Callithrix jacchus: one gene and its partner. The protein of the gene in region 1 interacts with the protein of each later gene in a biochemical or structural test. Links are inferred from orthologs where the notes say so. Each region holds a gene or a part of one and is shown in the gene's direction. Other genes may lie near its edges.

Region 1 (3,655 bases):
ATGCCAATACCACAGGGTTTTTACTATCATAGCCTTGTAGTAAGTTTTTAAATGAGGGAAGTGTGGGAGTCCTTCAGCTTTATTCTTCTTTCTCGTGATTATTTTGGTTATTTAGAATCCCTTGGGATTCTGATGCATTGAATCTCTAGGTTGCTTTGGATAATATTGACATGTCAACAGTATTAAGTCTTCCAATTCATGAATGTGGGATGTGTTTCCATTTATTTATGTCTTCTTTAATTTATTTCAGCAGCCTTGAAATTTTTGTTGTCCAAGTCTTTTGCCTCTGATTAAGTTAATTCTAAGTATTTTTATTATTTTGAGTATACATTAATTCCTTCCAAAAGTTTTTCCAAGGCTTTATCAGTTTCAGATACTGGTCTTACATGCACACATTATGCGAACCTGTGTTTGTAGTCATGATGGGCAGTGGATTTTGTCATCTGGGTTTCACTGAGGTTTTTCTTTCCTTAGATGATTTCACTGTGATTGTTTCTTTGCCATATCTGGCAAGGATTTTTTTTTTGAGATGGAGTTTTGCTCTGTCTCAGCTGGAATACAGTGACACGATCTTGGCTCACTGCAGCCTCTGCCTTCTGGGTTCATGGAATTTTCCTGCCTCAGCCTCCCAAGTGGCTAGGATTATAGACGTGTGCCACCATGCCTGGCTAATTTTTGTATTTTTAGTAGGTTTCACCATGTTGGCCAGGTGGGTCTCAAACTCCTGACCTCAGGTGATCTACTTTCCTTGGCCTCCCAAAGTGCTGGGATTACAAGGATTGATTTTTAACCATTTCTGTAGCAAGAGTTTATTATTACATTTATTATTGGGTTTCTAATGGACACGAAGATTGAACACCACAAACTAGTAATAAAAGCAAATAACATAATAGTAAATTTGTTGCTGTTTGAGTGCTTAAAGTATGTAGAATTAGCTTATTGAGTATATTTCCCACATACTGTGTTACAGAGCTATGTAATTTATACAGAGCTATGTAATTTATTAGATAAGTAAGTTGGTTTTTGAGTAATGACCAGTGTGCTTTTAACGCTTTGAGGACATCAAGATTCAGTTGCTGAATTCAGTCCAATATTTTTCTTTTTTCTAGGGCAAGAGGATTATGACAGATTACGACCGCTGAGTTATCCACAAACAGATGTATTTCTAGTCTGTTTTTCAGTGGTTTCTCCATCTTCATTTGAAAATGTGAAAGAAAAGGTAAGCTGATCAGATATTCTTGGCCTAAGAAGGTCATCCCATAATTTCTACTGACCTGTAATAGAGGTTTGACCTGCATTAGAGGTTTTTGGATTAACAAAGGTGTATTTTAAAATACCTTTTTTTAGTGGGTGCCTGAGATAACTCACCACTGTCCAAAGACTCCTTTCTTGCTTGTTGGGACCCAAATTGATCTCAGAGATGACCCCTCTACTATTGAGAAACTTGCCAAGAACAAACAGAAACCTATCACTCCAGAGACTGCTGAAAAGCTGGCCCGTGACCTGAAGGCTGTCAAGTATGTGGAGTGTTCTGCACTCACACAGGTAAGGATGGCATGAAATCCCATGAGTGTTTACGGTCTAGTCATTTATTAGAGCATTCGGATACAGGAATTATTTCTAACAGTGATCAGCAGTGCCCAAAGATGCCCAGCAAGAATATGAGCAGCTTCATATTGTATACTCTTTTTGTTAGAGGCCTCAGTGTTTTTTGGAGAATAATTATATAGTTTCTAAACTGCTTGTGTTGGTAAGCTCTCATGTTGTACTGAATGATTGATCGAAAACCTTACAGGAAGGGATAGCCTGGGGAGAAATGCTAAATGTGGGTGAAGGGGAGAAGGAAAGAAAAGCACACTGCCATGTGTGTTCCTACGCAACTGTCTTACATGCTCTGCTCATGTACCCCAAAACCTAAAATCCAATAAAAAATTAAAAAAAAAAAAAAAAAAAAAAAAAAGAAAACCTTACAGGAAAGGTTCAGATAAGCACAAATTTGCAAGAGAAGAGGTGAATGATTTTTTTTTCTAGGCACTTAAATTTTCATCTAAATACGTCTCATCTTGTCTTGCCGATTCTGACAATTGATATTATACTGTTTCTTGGGTAATTCAACCAGGATAGGGAATTAGTCATAATGATTGAGACTTCCATGTCAAAGAAGGTGGCCATGGCTATTTCTGCCACAGTTCTTAAGCATGCTTTATATAGTGTTTCTATTCCTATGTTTTTGGAAGTATTCCTTCCTCATGTGGACCTCTCTTTCATTCTGGCCTTTTTTGAGTGATTTAATTGGAATTCCTTTAGTAGTCTGATGGGAAGCTCAGATTTTGAGGATAGGGAGCAATGTTAGGGTATTTAGAATGGGACTTGTAACTGATGTGTATGGTTTAAACTTTTTCGCCTTCATGATATCGTCGATTCTGTCCTTTGAGTACTGTTCTGGGGGCAAAGGAAAAAATTATGGAAATAATTAGCACAAAATTCTTATGTTCAGTACTGGTGCTTTGAAGTTGGAACAGTGAGCAAACATGCCTAATTAAAATAGGACAAGATTGAAGGGTGGAGGTTTCTAATAATTATATTAAACTCATTATATATTATGCTTGCTTTTTCAGGTAATTGTTCATTTTTATTTTTTTTAAAAAACATTATTGGATTCTTAACTCCATGTATACGAGGGTAAATGGCATACATATATGATTACTTATTACATATACACTAGGTATTTAGTTTATAGGGCCTAGTATAATTTAATAGGCTTCAATTTAGTACTTGGTTGGATATTTACAGTAAAACTTGGATGCTTAACTGGGATATCCCTCAGGATAATGTCAGGGCCTAATACCAGATGCTTTAAATATAATCTTCTAATCCTAGTTTTTGGGGCAGTTTAGTGCTGTTATAAAAGCAGCTGTTTAAAAGTTTAGAAGATTTTACATCTTCTCACACACAGTACTGTTTTGAGAGTTTAAAAAAATGGATAGTGCTGTTTTCTTTGTTTTAATAACATTCCCAGAAAAGTGTGTGTGTGTATACAGAGGCACAGAATGTCATGTGTGAAACACTTGTGTCCGTGTTAGACATTAATTCTGTGTGCTTCTGATGCATACTTCTGTTCTCTAGATAGGGGTTGCTTTGAGGGAAAACACATAGGCCCTGTGGATCCACTTTTACGTCACTAGTAAAGCTTTAGATAATTGGATGCTTTTAATGTAAGATTTTTAGCGTCAACAGATGTATATAGTAAATCACTTCATAGCGAATGTGAAGTTTAAAAGGTCTTAGCAGGTGTATTTTTCGTAGGAGAGTTTGAAGTATGGAAAAGTCAAAAGAGGAGAATTTATAAAATGGGGTCTGGTCGTTGTGTTTGGGAGCTAGAACTTTTAGGATTACAGATTCTGTTTGTTGATTCCTCTAAAACTAAAGTCTTAATGTAAACAGATAATGGTTAAGCAAAGATTATAGAGAAAGGAATTCCTTCTTGTTAATGGATACACTCGAGTTTCTAATGGTCCTCCTCCTCTTTTTTTTCCTTATAAAGTATGTTTTCCTTTCTGTACTCCCTCCTTCCTTTTATATTTGACTAGGAACCAGAGTTGGTTCCTAGATGTGTAGAAAGGATTGCAGAGGAATTTTAACTTTTATATAGCAT
Region 2 (3,655 bases), on another chromosome or scaffold:
GCCACTGCACTTTAGCCTGAGTGACAGAGTGAGACTCAGTCTCAAAAAATAATAATAAATCAAAAATAATAATTAAAAGAATATTAATCTAGCGGGATCAAGGAAAAATACTTTATGGAAGGATTGTTTTAAGCATTTAGGCTGGGCATAGTGGCTCAAACCTGTAATCTCAGTACACTGGCTGCCCAAGATAGCATAGCTTGAGTCCAGGAGTTCAAGGCCAAACTGTACAACTTAATGAGACCCTGTCTCTACCTTAAAAAAAAAAAAAATAATAACCAGGCATGGTGGTATGTATTCCCAGCTAACAGGGAGCCTGAGGCAGGAGGATTGCTTGAGTTCAAGGATGTAGTAAGCTGTGATTGTGCCACCGTACTCCAGCCTGGGTGACAGAGTAAGACCCTGTCTCTAAAAAATAAACAATCATTTATATGCCCTAGGTTTATTTGCTTTTGATTTATCAGTGCTTTCAAGTATAAACCTGGCTTTTACTCTTATTCTTTTTTTTTTTTTTTTTGAGACAGTTTCACTCTGTCTCGAGGCTAGAGTGCAATGGCGCAATCTCAGCTCACTGCAACCTCTGCCTCCTGGGTTAAAGCAATTTTCCTGCCTCAGCCTCCTGAGTATCTGGGACTACAGGTGCCCACCACCACACCCAGCTAGTTTTTGTATTTTTAGTAGAGATGGGGTTCCACCATGTTGGCCAGGCTGGTCTCAAACTCCTGACCTCAAGCGTGAGCCACCACACCAAGCCTACTCTGTTACTCTATGGGCATATAGGAATTCTTGTAGGAGAGCTGCTACTTAAAAAAAAAAAAAAAAAAAAAAAAAAAAGATTAACTAGAATCCTAATTGTCGTCATTCATTTGTCACTTTTAGCTATCACATCCCCAGGCTTTTTGATATCTTTTTGCTCTTAGTCTCTTATTGTGGATCCTGTTCCTTTGCTTATTGACTTGAGGTTGGATACCTACATAAAATTATTTATGTGAGTTTCCTTGATATGGTCCTATCCTTTTTACCTTGAGCAAGTGAAAGTTTAGTGTGATTTTTCTTACATTTTGACTACTAGTAATAATATAAATTATGATTTTATGTTCAGCTTTCTAATTTTAAAACTTGTTTCTTGTGACTTTGAACTTTCCTAAAACTACCATATGATTAGTTTATGTTAGAGCATAGTAATCTTTATGGTAGTAAGTGGTTTTCTAAATATATTGAAAGATAGATGATATATATACTGGAAGAGTCAGAAAGACCATTTAGGGTTTAGATAGCCCTTATTATTTCTAATACTAAGTAGTTTCAAACTTACCTATTAACAGATATGTTAAAATATATCTATTAATATATTTCAGTCTTATAGGAAAATAGAGTGACCAGCTTGTCAATTTTCTTGAGATTACCTGATTCTAAAGCTGAACATCCGAGAACCTAATTAATCTCTGGCAAACTGGTGCAGTCTTTCCAAACTGTGACCATTATTGAGTAAATTAGTTAGGAGGTCTAACCTAATGGAAATAATGTGTCTTCTTGTTTCTGATACTTTTAAACTTTTATTATGTATTTATGTTTCTTTAGTGTTTTGTGTTTAAAACATGTTATTTTTGAAACTTAGTGTTATGTTTGAAAACCACATATGAAAAAGTGGAGTTTATCAAAAGGAATAATAATATCAAAATTAATTTACACTTAAAATGCTTGACTGAGCTTCCAGCTTTTTGTTTATTCTAGGAACTATTGTGAGCATAGGTGACCCTAAGAAAAAATATACAAGATATGAAAAAATTGGACAAGGGTAAGTATTTGTGACTGTGTTACCATAATATTCATTCTTGGCTTTATAACATGATATTTCTTTTTCCTGCTGACATTGAGCACTTATAGTATTCTGTGAGCAGTACCCTTGGGGATTTGTGTAAATAAATAATGCAGTTATTTCTAGATGCTATTAAAAAACTGTGCTAGTTGTTAGCAGTGACTGTATATCTTTTTTTTTTTCTTAAATGACGTTTCTCATTCATGGTAAAGGATTGGTTAGAGGGAAGAATTGTCCATAAAATATATTTAAAAGACAGTAAGAATATTTACTGCAGGATTATATGCAATTAAAAAGGTGCATTTCAATCATGTCCTTGAGTATTGACTTTTGAGTCTACTGGTCTGATTTTGTTCTGTAGTTTGTATTTTTTAAGTGTACTGACTAAACGTTTTTCTGTTGCTTGGAAGCAAATAAACACTTTAGATTTTTAATGTTATTAAACTCTGGAAAGCATTCTGTGAATTTAGAGTGAGTGCCGAAGGTATTTTTGAAAACTTCGATTTGAGTTTTTCTTTTTTTTTTTCTTTTTTGAATTGGAGTCTCACTCTGTCACCCAGGCCGGAATGCAGTGGCACCATCTTGGCTCACTGCAACCTCAGCCTCCCAATGTGTTAGGATTACAGGTGTGAGCCACAGCACCAGACTTGAATTTCTTCCTAACAGCTAAATTCAATTTCAGCACTGGTTTTTGTTTTGTTTTGTTTTAAGGAGAATTGAAGGTTATCCTAATATTTTTGAGTATTAATGAACAAGCAATGCCCTGCCATATGGATGGCCATCACAAATCCAGTGTTGAGTAACAAAAGCAAATTGCAGAATAATATGTGAAATGAAACTATATGACATTTAAAAATTAGGCAAAGTATATTTTATAGGGATACATACCTGGGTCCTTTGTAGTTAAAAGTATGGAGAAATGCATGGAAATGATGAACGTCAAATACAGGATAAACACCAAATACAGATCACCTTTGGGTGGAAAGAGGCTGCTATTGGAAAGGGCACATGAGAATCTTCAAATTATTTATAGTTTTGGTATCTTAAACAGGGAAGTATTTAAGTATATGTTATATATTTTTTTCTTGCTCTTTTTTCTCTACATTTTTATAGGTCTTAAATATTTCAGACATAAGTTTTGGCCATAAGGAGTGCTTCTTTCTTTTCCCCCCATCCCTTTCCTTATGTTTTTGCTTTTACTCCTTTTAAGCACATTAGGTCTCAACTGTTCTTTAATTCTTTTTTAATTGCTTGAAGTGTAAAGTCTTTGGATATTGTAAATGCTAGTGATTTATAAACCTTAAATCTGGTTGTGTGTTTTCTCCCATAGGGCTTCTGGTACAGTTTTCACTGCTACTGATGTTGCATTGGGACAGGAGGTAGCTACTTTGTCATACCTCTGGATGTTACCATTATTTTGTCATATAGGTGGAAACTAGATAAAGCTGAGAAGAATCAATAGGAATCTCTTAAGTTGAACATGTTGTAAGAATTGCTCTATGTATTTATAGCACTTCTGTCATTAAGGAGAACAAAGAATTGTGAGTTTAATGTCATAAACAAGCAAATATTTAACAATTGTTTTATCAGCTTGAAGTGAAAAGAGGATTAATTCTTAGTGCTGGATTGACTGTGGGTGGATTAATCAAGAGAAATCTAAAAATGTTTAGGCTCTATACATTCCAAAGCATTGTGCATAGGCAGTTTTGAAGTAAAAGTACTAGCTCTGAGTAATAGTATTGTATTGTGTAATACAACGTATGTACCATAAATTAAATTATTAACTGGCTGGTGTTTGTAATTTTCTAAGAGAATTCATAGGCCTGATTTTTTTCA

The links.
Region 2: the proteins of CDC42 (region 1) and PAK2 form a complex in vitro, tested with the Homo sapiens proteins (4 studies listed by BioGRID, with this or other methods). The link is inferred for Callithrix jacchus from reciprocal best matches to the Homo sapiens genes CDC42 and PAK2.

Annotation. Positions count from the first base shown.
Region 1 is NC_133508.1:58,846,026-58,849,680, forward strand, and holds part of CDC42 (cell division control protein 42 homolog), read left to right. Parts: intron 1-1,109; coding exon 1,110-1,219; intron 1,220-1,347; coding exon 1,348-1,545; intron 1,546-3,655. UniProt on the Homo sapiens protein: Plasma membrane-associated small GTPase which cycles between an active GTP-bound and an inactive GDP-bound state. In active state binds to a variety of effector proteins to regulate cellular responses. Involved in epithelial cell polarization processes.
Region 2 is NC_133516.1:25,329,286-25,332,940, reverse strand, and holds part of PAK2 (serine/threonine-protein kinase PAK 2), read left to right. Parts: intron 1-1,734; coding exon 1,735-1,798; intron 1,799-3,149; coding exon 3,150-3,198; intron 3,199-3,655. UniProt on the Homo sapiens protein: Serine/threonine protein kinase that plays a role in a variety of different signaling pathways including cytoskeleton regulation, cell motility, cell cycle progression, apoptosis or proliferation.